Diceros bicornis minor: one gene and its partner. The protein of the gene in region 2 interacts with the protein of the main gene of each other region in a pairwise test. Links are inferred from orthologs where the notes say so. Each region holds a gene or a part of one and is shown on either strand. Other genes may lie near its edges.

Region 1 (7,180 bases), on a different chromosome or scaffold from region 2:
TTCATGATCCGACAAAAAAGTCACAAAATTTCATGACCTTCATGGGCCAATTTGAGACATTTCCTTCACCTTCCAGAGAAATATTTTAGAAGGAAATTGTAAAAGAATCCAGATTTAAGTCACATGCGTTTGTTTGAGGTTTCGGTATATATTTTGCTTGAATATCAAGTCAACAGGCAGATTTTCAAGTGAAGCTTCCGAATCAGCTGATGTTTTATAGCCACAATTCAAGTACACAAATACTTAAGTTTTTGCCCTTTCCATAGGTATGTGATGGTTATAAAAATGTACACACAAGCTTTTGGGTCATACATCTTCTTATATGAGCAGAATTGTAAACCCACATCACTCACAGCGGTTATACACGCGTCTACGTATGCACCATTAAAGATCTTACATACGAACGCCCAAGTACATCAGTATTATAGCTGGGCAGATTTTTTTATTACATATTGTATACACAGCATAGAGCACAGCCCATTTGCACACTGGGCTCCCCATAAAGAAATATTGATTTGAAATATCCATATAGGATACACACATCTATTCAAATACACCATGAGTAAATTTCAGCTTAGCTTATCAATTAAAAACAAACTTTTTCCCTTTTCCCATTTATTGTTTTTCTTTTTTTTCTTCTCTCTTTCATTTCCTTCTCTCCATCTAGATTTTCTTTCTTTTCTTAACAGGACCCTTCCGAAAGCCATTCCTTCCCTCCATCTAGATTTTCTTTCTTTTCTTAACAGGACCCTTCCAAAAGCCACCCCTGAAGCACAGGGACTCACCGGCTGGTCCTGGCCAGGGTCGGCCTCTGCTCTCCCCACCTCGGCCTCACTCTTGGCTGCTCTGGGGCCCAGTGTGGCCAGGGGCTGCAGTTCTTCCCTGCTTTCCCTTCCCCGAGCTACCAGCTCCCCGCCCCAGCTGTGTTCAGGCTCGGCTCCTGTGCAGGGAATAGGAAGAAGCTGCGAGGGAAGGCAGGGTTTGTCCTTCTTTCTCTTTAGGATTGGGAGTGGGGTGGGGAGCAGTTTTGCTTTCTCAGGACAAAGTGACCCCCACTGAAAGAAGCCCTCTATTAAGTATCTCTAGAAGCGGGGCTCCAGAGTTCGCCATCCTGTTTGCCTCTCTCTGTTGTGGTGGGTACCATTGTCGAGGAGAGAAAACAAGGATTTTGGAGGGTCCATAGGCCCTCAGAGCACCCAAACAAGGGGCTCTCTCTCTCAGTCGACCCTTTAATCATTTGCCTGAGCTGGAGTTGAGCTCCAATTGGGGGCAGCAATGCTTTCTAGAAAGCCTAGTTGTGGTGGCACTCATTGCTTGGTGCATCCACGTCCCCACCTGGAGGGAGATAGGCTGGGGTGCAGATTCCAGGGCTAGGGGGCTAGTTCATTCTCTTCCCTTCAGAGTCACCTCTTCTGAGAAGACTGAGACCTCTAAAACCTGGCATGTTGAAATTGTTCCCACCCTACAGCTTCCTTCTGAGCAAAGGCTGAGCTCTGCTCTCAGAAAAGAGGCTTGAGTCCCCGCCTCACCCAGCACCCAGGAGCCACCAGAGGCAACTCAGACAGACAGATAGCAACTCACAAACCTGAACCCTGTTTGCTGGGTGAGTCTGCTGTTATAGGGCACAAGCCATGAACCCAAATAAATGTTCTTCCTCCTCTAACTTCTTCCCTCAACTAAGTGGCCCTCCTGACTTCTCTCTTGTTGCAAAGAGAAGCAGCCGCAAAGCCAGGGCCAGGAGTGGGAACCAGAAGGGCTACAGTCAGAGCCCAGCACCCGCACAGCCTGGGTCTTAAGAACAGCCCAGCACTGTGACTTTTTTATAAATAAAAATAAAAAAGTCCCTGCCCACAGTCCCCATGTCCTTTTGAGCCCTAATTTATATACTACAGAAAGTCATATGCTCAGCGCGCCATGCTTCATAACACCGTTATTTATGGCAGGAGAGGTTTTTTTTTCCTGAACGATATATTTATTATAGGTAAAGCCAACAGCAGACTCCATGCGTCTGGCAAATCGAGAACAGGTGCCTTGCCTTAATTGTGATTCATTCGCTCTGCGCCCAGCTTTCTCGCTGGCGAGTCCGGGGAGCTCCCTCGATTTTCCCAAGCGTCCAACTGCTACTTAGAAGAATTTGCATCAGACTTTTGTTTCCCTACTTGGGTCCCAGGGAAAAAGCAGATCTTCACGCTGTTTGGTTCCCGATCTGCCAGGCTGTCGCCCTCGGAGAGCTGGGATGGAAGAGGAGGGGGCCGGCTGGGCGCCGGCATTGATCTTTAAAAAATCATTTTGAAATCGCCATAATGTGAAGAAATATGGCGCATCGCCCTCGTATTTCACACGTAATGACATGAGATGGCTTCATTTGGGAAGAAAAGCGGGCGGAAGTGTGTCTGTGCGTGTGCGGAGGTGATCCGCAGCCTTCTGCACGGCAGAGGGGTACATGGCCCAAAAGATAAAACCTCTAAATAGAATGGCCCCGCTTTTGTTAAAAGGACCAGGCTGGGGGCAGCCTGTCTTATCAGGGTTCAGAGTCGGAGAATGCCGAGAAAATGCGCCCCATCCTGCCCCTAAACCCAACCCAAGGAGAATCGGGTCTGTGCAGAGGCCGCGCCTCCGTGAGCGCCCACAACACGCAAAGCGGCTGCACCCAGGACAGGAGCTGGAGGAGCCGCCGCTGGGAGATGAGCCAGGAAGCCAGCCGGTGGTCCCGGGAGAGTCCCAGCAGGGCCGAATAGTAGATACTAATAAAACCGGCTATTTGGAAGCTCCAAGGAGAGAGTCTGCAGGAGGAGAGGCGGCAGGAGGGCAGGAGACTGACCCCGCAGGCTCTCCATCTGCGCTGGTGCCCAATACCGGTATTTGGAAATCTTTCTGAACGGCAATGCCGGGGTGATAGGAGCCGGACAGGAGAGGCGAAATCTCGGACGCGGCTCCTTCCTCACTGGGTGGAAGGGAGATAACTCGGGGCCTCCTCTCTGCTGACACCTCAGGGAAGTTCCCTTAACCTTTTCCCACATTCAGCTCCCCCATCTGGGCACTTTTAAGGGCCTGGCCTGTTATTCAATGGAGGAAAGGAGAAATGGCTGTGCCCCTCGCCCCATACTTCCTCTGGCCAGGACCAGAGAGAGGCCCAAGAAATTTAAAGGAGCTTTGGCTAGTCGTACTAAACTCAGAGGCTCGGCTTTCCAGGGCCTGCTGAATCTCTTTAATCTCATGCAGGCTCCAATTCTGGGACAGCTAAATTTTAGGATAGGATCCCTGGACACTCACTCCCTTTTATCCTGTTCTCTCTTCCCTCAGCTGCTGAGGTATCAGGAGAAGCTCTCATGCCTGTAAACCTCCCCAAATAGTTACAGAGAGCCCCCTCCAAAGGGATAACGTCCTATAAAACCTCCACTTCTCTCCCATCGCCTTTACTTCATCTCCAGTGGATTGCTGCTGCCCTGTTGTTTAATAAACATCTTGTGTCAAGGGGACAGAGAAGAGGAAACCAGGGCCTACAGGGTGGAGCGGAGGTGTTTGTGGGGGGACAGGACCACCTCCTCTTTAATTATGCTGTGGGCCTCTCTGGCTTCTCCCCAGACTGGGCTCTCTCCCTCCCTCTGCCCTGCTCTCCCTTTCTCCCTCCCGGACCTGCCCGGGGAGAGGGCTCCACAGCCTGCGTCCCTCCTGAGGCAGCCCGCTGCTTTCCCTCCGCCTCTCCTCCGCCCCCGCCGCCCCATGTCGAGAGCTCCCCCCCCTTCCTGCAAAAGAGGCGGGGGACCGGGCGGTCGGCAGCTCAGGCTGAGGTTACGTGGCCACCGGAGCCCTGACGTGATAGCACATTGCATCAGCATAAAACAATCCATCCTCGATATGGAATGCGGTGCGGACGGATGACAGCGAGAGCGCAGCCCCCTCGCCCGATTGATTTATGTCGGAGCTGACGCTTTATCAGGCAGTCGGAAAAACTTTGACCAATCATTTTGCAAGGAGCGCTGAGCCGGGCTGCTCCACTGTACTTTGTTGGCTGAGAAGTTGAGCAGGGGGTGGGGGTGGGAGGGTGGGGGGCTGGGGGGGTCGCGTCCGAAAGCCCTCACACGGGTCTGGGTGCCACCTCTCCCTGCCTGGGCGCCGCCGCGCGAGCGCTTCCCTTCCCCCTGCGAGCGCCCGGATAATGTCTGAGAATGTCCATTTCTGGGACGCTTAGCAGCTATTATGTCGACTCGATCATAAGTCACGAGAGTGAGGACGCGCCTCCAGCCAAGTTTCCTTCCGGCCAGTACGCGAGCCCCCGGCAGCCGGGCCACGCGGAGCACCTGGAGTTCCCCTCGTGCAGCTTCCAGCCCAAAGCGCCGGTGTTCGGCGCCTCCTGGGCGCCGCTGAGCCCGCACGCGTCCGGAAGCCTGCCATCCGTCTACCACCCCTACATCCAGCCCCAGGGCGTCCCGCCGGCCGAGAGCAGGTACCTCCGCACCTGGCTGGAGCCGGCGCCGCGCGGCGAAGCTGCTCCGGGGCAGGGCCAGGCGGCGGTGAAGGCGGAGCCGCTGCTGGGCGCGCCTGGGGAGCTGCTCAAGCAGGGCACGCCCGAGTACAGTTTGGAAACTTCGGCGGGCAGGGAGGCCGTCCTGTCTAATCAAAGACCCGGCTACGGGGACAATAAAATTTGCGAAGGAAGCGAGGACAAAGAGAGGCCGGATCAAAGTAAGTTATAAAAAGTGAGGAAATACCCAGGCCGAAGGCCAGGCGAGGGGGAGGGGAGAGGAGAGGCAATAAACTGCGGACAATGTGAAGGGAAACCGCGGCGGTGGCCGGAGAGCGAGCGGGGGCGGAGGGAAGAGGAGGAAGGAAGGGAGGACGCTGGGTGTCTCAGAAGGCGAGACTGATGCCACTGGAGGAGCGCCGCCCCCACTACCAGTCCAGGGGGGAATTGGGGCGCAGGGACCAACGCGCTGCTCTCTCGGCCTCCCTTCCCCCGCTCTCCCGGAGGCCAGGGCTGAAAGACCGGAGAGGGGCTGACGATGGCCGGCCGGGAGAGGACTGGCGGGGTCGGGGCAGGCTGCCAGTGAGGCCGAGAGTCTGCGCGGGCAACGGCGGAAGCGCACGGGGCTGCCCGGGACCGCGCGGCTGGCAGAGCTCCCCGCGCCACGCGCAGACCGTAAAAGCCGGCCAAGGGGAAGTGGGAGGGGGCTCATTAGGATTTTATTTGCGATGCAACAGCTTGGCGGAGGATCCTTCCTAGCAGATCTCGCGCAGTAGCCGCTCAGGGTCCGCAACCGGCGCCGGGAGGGGCGGGGGAAGCCCAAGACCCGGTGCCTGAGCCCCCTCCCCGGATGCGCCAGCCCCTCCCCGGGAGTCTTCCCTCCGGCCGCCCCCTCCCCTCCCTGGCATCCTCGCCCGGGTTGCCGCTTGCCCTTCTGCGGCCCCTCGCTGCTCGCCGCGGGCCTCCTTAGCCCCAGCCAGAGCTGTCCGCCTCGCGGGGAGTCGGGGAATCGCTTCCGAACTTTCGGGCCGACCGCCGGGGTGGAAAAGGAGAGATCCCGCCCGAAGGGACCCTGGGGAGAGGAAGGGTGGGAGAAGAGAGGCTGCTGCGAGTCGGAGAACTTTACCCTCCGACCACAGTTTCTCATCACCTCCACTCCTCCGAAAGCACCCCCGCCAGGAGCCCAAGTCTGGCTAATTTCCAGGAGGTGCTGCTCACTGGGAGAGTGGTCTCATATTTTTCGTTTTTAAGGTTGAGAAGGGCAAATTGGTTGGGGGCTCTTAGCCCCAAACAATAACTCTCTGGCTCGAGGAGACAAATCCTCACTTCTTACTCTTTTGGGGGAGTGAGGTTCTGATTTTTCAGTCTCTGCCTGCCCTGCCAGATTTCCCACCAACAGAGTGGCCCACAGTCCCTGTGGGGTGTCCTTGCCTGCCGGAGGCTAGAGAGCTGCCCCACTCCCCAGAGGTCCCTGCAGGGTCCCACCACCTCCAGCCTACCAGGTTGAATCACAAGAGCTGGGTTTGGGTAACAGGGGCTCTTCCAAACCCTCCCTGCTCACACCCAAACAGACTCCCCACCCCAAACCCCCAAACTCTGCCTGGAAAGCCCATTATTGCCAGGCAGCGGTTTGGCTAGGATCAATTATTAACAGATTTTTTCCTCTTTCATATTTAATGCGGCTGCGGGTCCCATCCCAAGCAATCACATTCAGGAAATAGCGCTGCAAGTTGGTAAGGCACAGTACTTAGTGTAGGATGAACCAGATTATTTAAAAAAAAAAAAATGTTCAGTGCTTTTCATTTGATGAGAAAGAATCTAGCAGAAGATGGCTATTATTTTTAATTGGCTCTGCTTTATTTGGCAACTTTTCTGAGTTCCAGGGTAGGGAGAGAGATGGTAAGGAGAAGAGAAGCCTGTATGTATTTTTGTTTCCTCTTTTTTTCTCCCCTTCCACTCAATTACCCCTTTCTCTGTTCCCCCTCACCACATGGAGCCAGTTGGAGTTCTGGCTGTGTTGTGAAGGGCTTTCCCCCCACATCATCCATGGCTCCCCACCTTGGGACTGGAGCAATCTTGCTTCCCAATTTCCCTGAACTTGCTTTAACAAAACTGCGAGCTGAGCAGGAGCGGAAAAGAAGAGACTATTGCAACCATAAGTTATCTGTGAGCCCCCGGCGCTCTCTTGTCCATGGGCTGGAGTTGACAAATGGTTGCAATTGGGTTGCATGTGAATTGGAGTGTGCTGGATGTTTGCGTCTCTAAGTGCAGACCCATATTTGCGGTGTTTGTGTGTGTGGGGGTGAGATATCTACACAGACACACATGCCTGGTGCCATGTGGCCAAGAGACACAAGTTTGTGGTCAAGGCAGGGTGTACTCGGACTGGACTGGAGGGCCAGGAGGTCTCTTGGCTGTGGCTGATCGGAAGCCGCTCTCCCCCAGCCCAACCCTTCTCTCAGCTCCCAGAGCTAGAGCCTGGACCGGTCAGGTCAGCCACCCCTCATCAGTCTGGTGGTGCTGGGGGGGGGGGCTTTAGCCATGCTGGGCTCTGACCTGAGTCCTAATCAGTTTGGACCCAAGTGGAGAAAATGAATGAGAGGAGCCCTGAGGCAGGCAAAGCCCTGGAAGTGCTGAGAAGCATGGGATGTGCTTGACTCCATCCTGTCCAAATAGCCTCTCACCTGGAGGTGTCTTTAGCAACTCCTGGCCCAT
Region 2 (7,625 bases):
CTATATTTTCATGTAATGAGGATCTGAATTTAGAGTGTTTCTCTGGCTCCAGATCAACAAAATTTCACCTCTGCTTACCTAGCAATTTCCCTTCTAGGAATCTACCTAAGGAAACAATCAGAAACCCGGGCCAAAACTTGGGTGGAAAGATGTCCATCAAAGAATTATTTATCATTGGAAAAAACCTAAATCTTCAACAACAGAATGGCAAAATAAATTGCACACAATGGAACTCTAAAGAGCCATTACATTTTTTTAATGTAAATATACGTAATGACACGGGAAACTATACTATAATGTTAATAGTAATAATGCTAACAATTATGTCAGGTGCTGTGCTGAGCACTTTACATATATTACCTCATTTAATCCTCAGAACGACTAACCATGTGAAAGATATCATTATTATTTACTTGTTACAGATGAAGAAATGGTGACTTAACAAGGTTAAGTAACTTGACACAATCACATAGATGGGGTGTGGCTAATTCCAAAGCTGTAGCACCTAAGAAGCCACTACACTATTCTGCAGGATACAATTTATAGATATATATGATACCAATTTGTTGTTACTACACACACACACACACACAGGTGACTTTAAAAATATTTTAAAACGAGTACAGCAAAGCACAGACCAGTCAGAAGGGACACTACAACCACTCAGAATGGAAGCCAGGTGTAAATAACCAAAATGGCCATCTAGTTTCAGTTAACCTTTGCTGTGTAACAAACCACCCCAAAATTGAGCAACTTAAAACAACCATTTTATTGGCTCATGATTCTGTGGATTGATAACATGCGCTGGGATCAACAAGGTGGTTCTTCTGTTAGTCTTTCCTAGAGTCACTTGTGTGTCTGCAATCATCTGACAGCTCAACTAGGATTGGATGGTCCAAGATGACCTCACTTACGCACGTGGCTTTTGGTGCTGGCTGTCAGCTGGACCTTTCTCTTCATGAGGTTTTTCATCCTCAAGGAGACTAGCTCAAGTATCTTCACATGGCAGCAGCAGTGTTCCAAGAGGGCATGAGCAGAAGCTTTACAATCTCTTGACGTCTTGCTTAGAAGTTGTATACCATCACTTCTACTGCATTCTGTTGGTCAAGGCAAGTCACGAAGCCAGTCCAGATTCAAGGAGTGGGGAAATAGACTCTACCTCTTGATGGGAGGAGCTGCAATGAATCTGTGCCATTTTTAATCCACTACACTGTATATACCAACTGAATATCAGCCCTGCATGTATATGTACATAAAAAAAAGACTGGAAGGAAACCAACCTGTTAACAGGGATTATTTTTATCTTTTTATATTCCCGCACTTCTCCAATTTTCTTAATCAGTAAGCATTACTTTCATAAACATAAAAAAAATTTGACATCTTTCATAATAGTTTAATAGGGCAGGTTGGACAGCTTCACTTTGGCACCGAAATCAGCCGAATTCCTTCTCCCCCAGCTCTACCACTTCCCGGCTTTGGCAATTTTGTAACCCCTCTGAGCCTCTGGTTTTCTCAGTCATAAAGACGGAGCTAACATTACCTATTTCACAAGACAGTTGTAAGGATCAAATGCGACAATGAATATAAAGCACCCACACCCACCACGTGCCTTGGCAGAGACATGCCTTGGCGATTTCCCTTCCTCCTCTCCCCCTACTCAGACCTCCTCAGTTATAGGAATTCTCTTTCTCACAAAGATTAAATTCTGTTTAGTAAACTACACACACTCTCTAAAAGTAAACTGTATGCCCTGAGGGCTGGTTTCAAAACTTAGTCCTCCTTTATAACCCCCAAGTACCCAGCACAAGACTCAATAAATATTTGTTGATTTGTTGACTCATTAACCAAATAAAAGTTTTCCAAATGCAAGGCAGTTAATCCCTTTTTATGCAGTTTTAAATCTAAATTCCAGTATCAAGAGGGGGTAATGTTGCTTATCCATTGCATCTATCTATTCATGACAATGGAAAAGCCTAACTTGATTCACTGCCATGAAGAAAACTCAACTTTCTGAGGGTTCTAAGCTTCTACATGTGCACAAACACAATCACAATGAGCTTTCGTCAGCCATATGTTTTTCAGAATAGGCTCTTCCTTGTCATAATGGCAAAGTTGAACATAAGAGCATGAAACTTAAACTGGAAAAACAGGATAAACAGAAAAAAAATTATAATGCATTTTAATGAAACAATCATTATTCTAAAAAACTAAGCAACCCAAATTGAAAATGGTCTTGTTTTTGCTTCAATGAGGCAGCTATCATTAGTCACAGAGGTCTAATTTACTGTTATCAGTAAATTTGTAACAAGCTCTCCTTCCGCCTCCCACAAGTAAGACCAAAGCAGAGGAGGGAAGGGCCTATGAATGGTCATCAGTGTGTCATGGTGTCAGGAAAGACACTACCTGGATTAGGTAGATGAGAATCAATGCTATTTTTAAAGATCTTTGAGAAAGACACTGCTTAAACTCCCACCGGACGGTGACTCACTATGCATGACAGCCCCAGAGGGTGGGAAGGGTAAGAGAGAACCCACTTTTGCTTTCTTTTTTACATACAGGATATTGCTAACAAAGGCAGAGAATCACTTGTTGAATGTTGGGGGAGGGGGGTGGGAGTGGTCATTTGGTGATAGTCCAATCTCTCATTCCACAGAAAGAGAACGCTGCAGGCCCCTTTTATGCTTTCTCTTTGACTCACTCCGGAAACCAGGCAGGACCCTAAGGAAGGTCTGTCTGGAAAGGTGGGTTGTAAAAGAAAACTATATCTGTCAGAGGCTTGAATACTTGTTCCAGTGGGTACAATCCAGGAATAGCTTTACCTAATCCAACTCTTCTCAAACATTTTGCTCCCAGGACATTTAAAAACTATTGAAGAATCCAAAATGCATACCTTCAAAAATTCCAGAAAACATTAGAATACATAAGCACACATTCCTTTAGTCACTAAAGCAATGATGTCATCACACATCCCGTAAATTTATAATTATTTCAAAACAGAAAGTTAAAAAAAAGGGAATAAAAAGAAGCACAGAGGATGGAGCAAGTAGGGATTACAACAGCAGCAACGGAAGCCAGAAGATAGTCAGATATCATCAATATGCTGAAAGAAAATAACTTCCAATCTCAAATTCTGTCAGCAGTAAAATAAATCCTTCAAGAATTTTAAGATGAATTAAAGATATATTTAGACAAGCAAAACAGAAAATTTTACAAAAGCAGACCTTCACTAAAGGAAATTATGGAGAGTGTAACTCAGGCAGAAGGAAAGTGTTTCCACAAGGAAGGTCAGAGATTTAAGAAAGAATAAGAAGGGACAAAAGTAAGAAATAAAACCTTGTGTTAATTCTAAAAATTATAAGTACAGGAGTCCCCCCTTATCTGCGGTTTCACTTTCTGCAGTTTCAGTTACGGTCAACAGCAGTCTGAAAATATTAAATGGAAAATTCCAGAAATAAACAATTCATAAGTTTTAAATTGTGCGCTGTTGCGGGTAGCGTGACGAAATCTTGAGCCTTCCCACTCTGTCCCGCCCAGGATGTGAATTATCCCTTTGTCCAGTGTATCCACGCTATTTATGCTACCGGTACCCACCCCTTAGTTACTTAGCAGCCATCTCAGTTATCACATGACTATCCCGGTATCACAGTGCTCGTGTTCAACTCACCCTTATTTTACTTAATAATGGCCCCAAAGCTCAAGAGAGAGCAGTGATGCTGGCACTTCGGATATGCCCAAGAGAAATTGTTGTTAATTTCTTACTGTGTCTAATTTATAAATTAAACTTTATCATAGTTATGTATGTATAGGAAAAAACATAGTATATACAGGGTTCAGTACTATACCCAGTTCTAGGCATCCACTGTGGGTCCTGGACTGTATCCCTTGCGGATAAGGTGGGACTACTCTACAGGCGGAAAACTTATTGAGGAATCCAAATAACTTACCTTAGGAAATTCTGTAAAACACAAGAGTACACAAGCACGCATTCCTTTAGACATCAGAGCAATGACTTCATGACACAACAGGTCGCCTCTGGAAAATTCCAGCGAGAGTGAAAAAGGCAAAGGACATCTTACTATTATTATGGAAGTACTTTTGACACAGACTCCCTGAAATGATCTTGGGACCCACAGGGCCCCCGGATCACAATTTGAGAATCGCCTCTCTATTCCCTTCATCACCCAAGGCCAGGTCTGAGTTTCCTTTCCTGACGGGTCAAGGAAGAAACAGCAAGGTCACTGGTCGGGGGCCACCAGGGGAATTGCTCTCTCCCTTTCGCAAAGGTTACTGGAGGACACGTAGGCTCCGAGGTCGGGCTTCCGGGAAGGCTCCACGAGGCGCCACTAGAGGGCGCCGCTAGAGAACCCCGCCGCGCACCCCGCCCACCCCACCCGCTGGCCGGGTTCACACGGACGCCCGGAGGAGAGGGCGGCGCCAGGAATGGGGGGAGGCGGGCGCGGCCTCATTGGACGAGGACCGTCCGCCTCACGGCCGGGGGCGGGGCTTCTCCGCGCTAAAAAGCAGAGCCGAGCGGCGGCTCGAACGCGCAGCTCTGGTGGCAGTCAGCTGGAGGTTTTTCGTCGCTCACCGAGGTTCGCCGGGTCATGGTGCCAGCCTGACTGAGAAGAGGACGCTCCCGGGAGACGAATGAGGAACCACCTCCTCCTGCTGTTCAAGTACAGGGGCTTGGTCCGCAAAGGGAAGAAAAGCAAAAGACGAAAATGGCTAAATTCGTGATCCGCCCGGCCACCGCCGCCGACTGCAGTGACATCCTGCGGCTGATCAAGGTAGCCGAGGCCCGGGCTCCTCCCGGGGCGGGGTGGGAGGTGGGCGGCGGCTCCATTTCCGGGAAAGTCCGCGTCTTGCGCAGGTTCCCCTTTCTCCCCCGCCTCCCCAGCCCCAGCCGGGCTGGGCAGGGCCGCGCCGCTCAGCTCCGGCCAGACTCAGGGAATGAATCGCCACCCCGCCCCGCCCCCTCCTTCCCTCTGAGTTATCCGGGCCGGGGCCTCACTTAGTTTTCTGCTTCTCTCCCTGTCTCCTGTGTGCATCGCCCCAGGAACTGGCTAAATATGAATACATGGAAGAGCAAGTAATATTAACTGAAAAAGGTAATGTATCAGTGGGGGGCGAGGGACGAGCGTCCAGTACCTGTCACCTTTACCGAGGCCAACACTGTCTGTCCCTGCTGCCCCTTGCAGATCTGCTAGAGGATGGTTTTGGAGAGCACCCCTTCTACCACTGCCTGGTTGCAGAAGTGCCCAAGGAGCACGGGACTCCGGAAGGTAACCGTCCTCCCGTTTCAGAAGCCAAAGAAACCAAGTGTTGTGTAAATCGTAGTGTCTGCTGTGTAGAGAACCACTTACAACACAGGCCGAAGTTACTAAGAAGTTGGCCAGAAATAATAGCCAACCAGTGTTCAGACTACTGAGGAAAAAAAATAGATGTGCGGCACTTAATAATAGGGCGGGTTAAAAGAGCTGTTTAAGTAAGTATCAGAGTGCTGTGGAGACCCGGAAGAGTTAGGTATAATGTCATTTGTTGTAGTTCAGTTTCATAAATGGTTCTTGTTTGACCCTAACGTAACCTTTTTTGTAATTGTTAAATCACATTTTTTTCTTTAATTTGTCCCAATCTTCAGGTTACAGTCTCTAGCTTCGCCATGTACATGGCCCTTCCGTGTACATGGATGGGCGGGGAGGTAACTAAAAGATCCTTTACACAATAAAGTAGATGATCATGATAAATGAGGTAAGGTCCTATTATCACACACTTAAAACACGGTAGATCAGAAACTCCATTGTACTCGCTTCCTGTCTGTGTTTGCAAAGGACTATAAAATGGCTAGAAAGTTTAATTTGAAACCTTTGCCTCCAGTTGGAATTACAGACACCCATAAGAGGATGTCACATTTTGTTTTGTTTTGCTGGTCCCTGTTGACTGGTCAGAAGATAGCGCTAAAAGGGGAAGTTGTTGGGGTGGGTGCTTAAGTTTTTTTCTGACATCTGTTCCCCAAGCTAGAAGAAATGAGCAGAAAACGTAAGGGGTGAGGTGCTTTTTAGAGGGATGTGGATGTTACATAATACCTGTTTCTGGGTATCTCTGCTTCTTCTGGCTTAAAAACTGGGGAGAGCAAATTGAAAATGTGTGAATTGGAAGGCAAGTTCTGAAATTAAACGTTGCGTTTTTTGGCCTGATGTCCTGACCTTAAGGAAGCAGAGTTTCTAAACTACAAATATTTACTATTCTGAACTGCCGTGTAAACCTGACTTATTCCCAAGTCAACATACCAGTATATCAATAGGATGTGAATAATGTGTGTGTTTAGTTTAAGACCATAGCAGTTTCGCTCTGGCAAATAATGAAAGCATTCTCGCTTCCTGAGTATGAGATCCAGCAGATTGCAGAGTGGCCAGTCCACAATTTAAGCCTGGCTTCAGCTAGCTCTAATGTGTGCTTTTTGCAAATACATGTTTTGAGAACAGTGAGATCATCCAGCAGTGGCCTGGACTGCACTAGCATAAAAGTCAAGAGACAGTCTGGTTCAGTGGCTACTTATTTTTATAATACATGCATGTGTATTTTTTAAAACCTATGATAGGCCTCTGATTTTGCAGCTACAACTTTTATGGATTACTTTTCATTCACATCTCATGTGATACTCTTATTACAGGACACAGCATTGTTGGTTTCGCCATGTACTATTTTACCTATGACCCATGGATTGGCAAACTATTGTATCTTGAGGACTTCTTCGTGATGAGTGATTATAGAGGTATGGTTGAGTTCAGGGGGAAGCTCTAAAGAGAATCAGGTCTTGAAGTCTTTAAGATGATTTTTTAAATGGTACTTCTCTTTCTTTTAGGCTTTGGCATAGGATCAGAAATTCTGAAGAACCTAAGCCAGGTACATTTTGATTTTTGGTTTCTGAATTTGTAAGAGTTATTGGATTATTTTAATGACTGAATCAAAATTGGGTCTTGGAAATGTCACTGAGTTTGTTTTACTCTCCCATATAATAGGTTGCGATGAAATGTCGCTGCAGCAGCATGCACTTCTTGGTAGCAGAATGGAATGAACCATCTATCAACTTCTACAAAAGAAGAGGTGCTTCTGACCTGTCCAGCGAAGAGGGATGGAGACTCTTCAAGATCGACAAGGAGTACTTGCTAAAAATGGCAGCAGAGGAGTGAGGAGTGCTGGTGTAGACGATGACAGCTTCCATTCTATTTTAGAATAAATTCTCAACTTATCTTGCTTTCTATCCTGTTTGTAGTGAAATAATAGAATGAGCACCCATTCCAAAGCTTTATTACCAGTGGCGTTGTTGCATGTTTGAAATGTGGTCAGTCTGAGATGGCAATCTTGTATGCAGTTCGGAGTCAGATTTCTCCTTGAACATCTTTTTGATAAACAACTAGGTGGTGTGATCTTAATGTATATGAAAAAAACTTCATTCTTGTGAGTCATTTAAATGTGTACAATGTACACACTGGTATTTAGAGTTTCTGTTTTGATTCTTTTTTAATAAACTACCCTTTGATTTAATTGCTTGGTGTAAGCATTTTTACTAATTCTTTATTTCTTAGACATTTTTCTTGCTATTGAGTGCAAAATAAAAATGGCCA

Evidence for each region. The genes of interacting proteins can lie anywhere in the genome.
Region 1: the proteins of SAT1 (region 2) and HOXB9 interact in binary tests that used the Homo sapiens proteins (3 or more experiments, as listed by UniProt). The two-hybrid records come from large-scale screens. The link is inferred for Diceros bicornis minor from reciprocal best matches to the Homo sapiens genes SAT1 and HOXB9.

What each region holds. Positions count from the first base shown.
Region 1 is NC_080757.1:37,350,201-37,357,380, forward strand, and holds the start of HOXB9 (homeobox protein Hox-B9), read left to right. Parts: upstream 1-4,169; coding exon 4,170-4,686; intron 4,687-7,180. UniProt on the Homo sapiens protein: Sequence-specific transcription factor which is part of a developmental regulatory system that provides cells with specific positional identities on the anterior-posterior axis.
Region 2 is NC_080781.1:19,985,765-19,993,389, forward strand, and holds SAT1 (diamine acetyltransferase 1), read left to right. Parts: upstream 1-4,533; 5' UTR 4,534-4,721; coding exon 4,722-4,787; intron 4,788-5,056; coding exon 5,057-5,108; intron 5,109-5,198; coding exon 5,199-5,282; intron 5,283-6,670; coding exon 6,671-6,772; intron 6,773-6,862; coding exon 6,863-6,903; intron 6,904-7,019; coding exon 7,020-7,190; 3' UTR 7,191-7,545; downstream 7,546-7,625. UniProt on the Homo sapiens protein: Enzyme which catalyzes the acetylation of polyamines. Substrate specificity: norspermidine = spermidine >> spermine > N(1)-acetylspermine. This highly regulated enzyme allows a fine attenuation of the intracellular concentration of polyamines.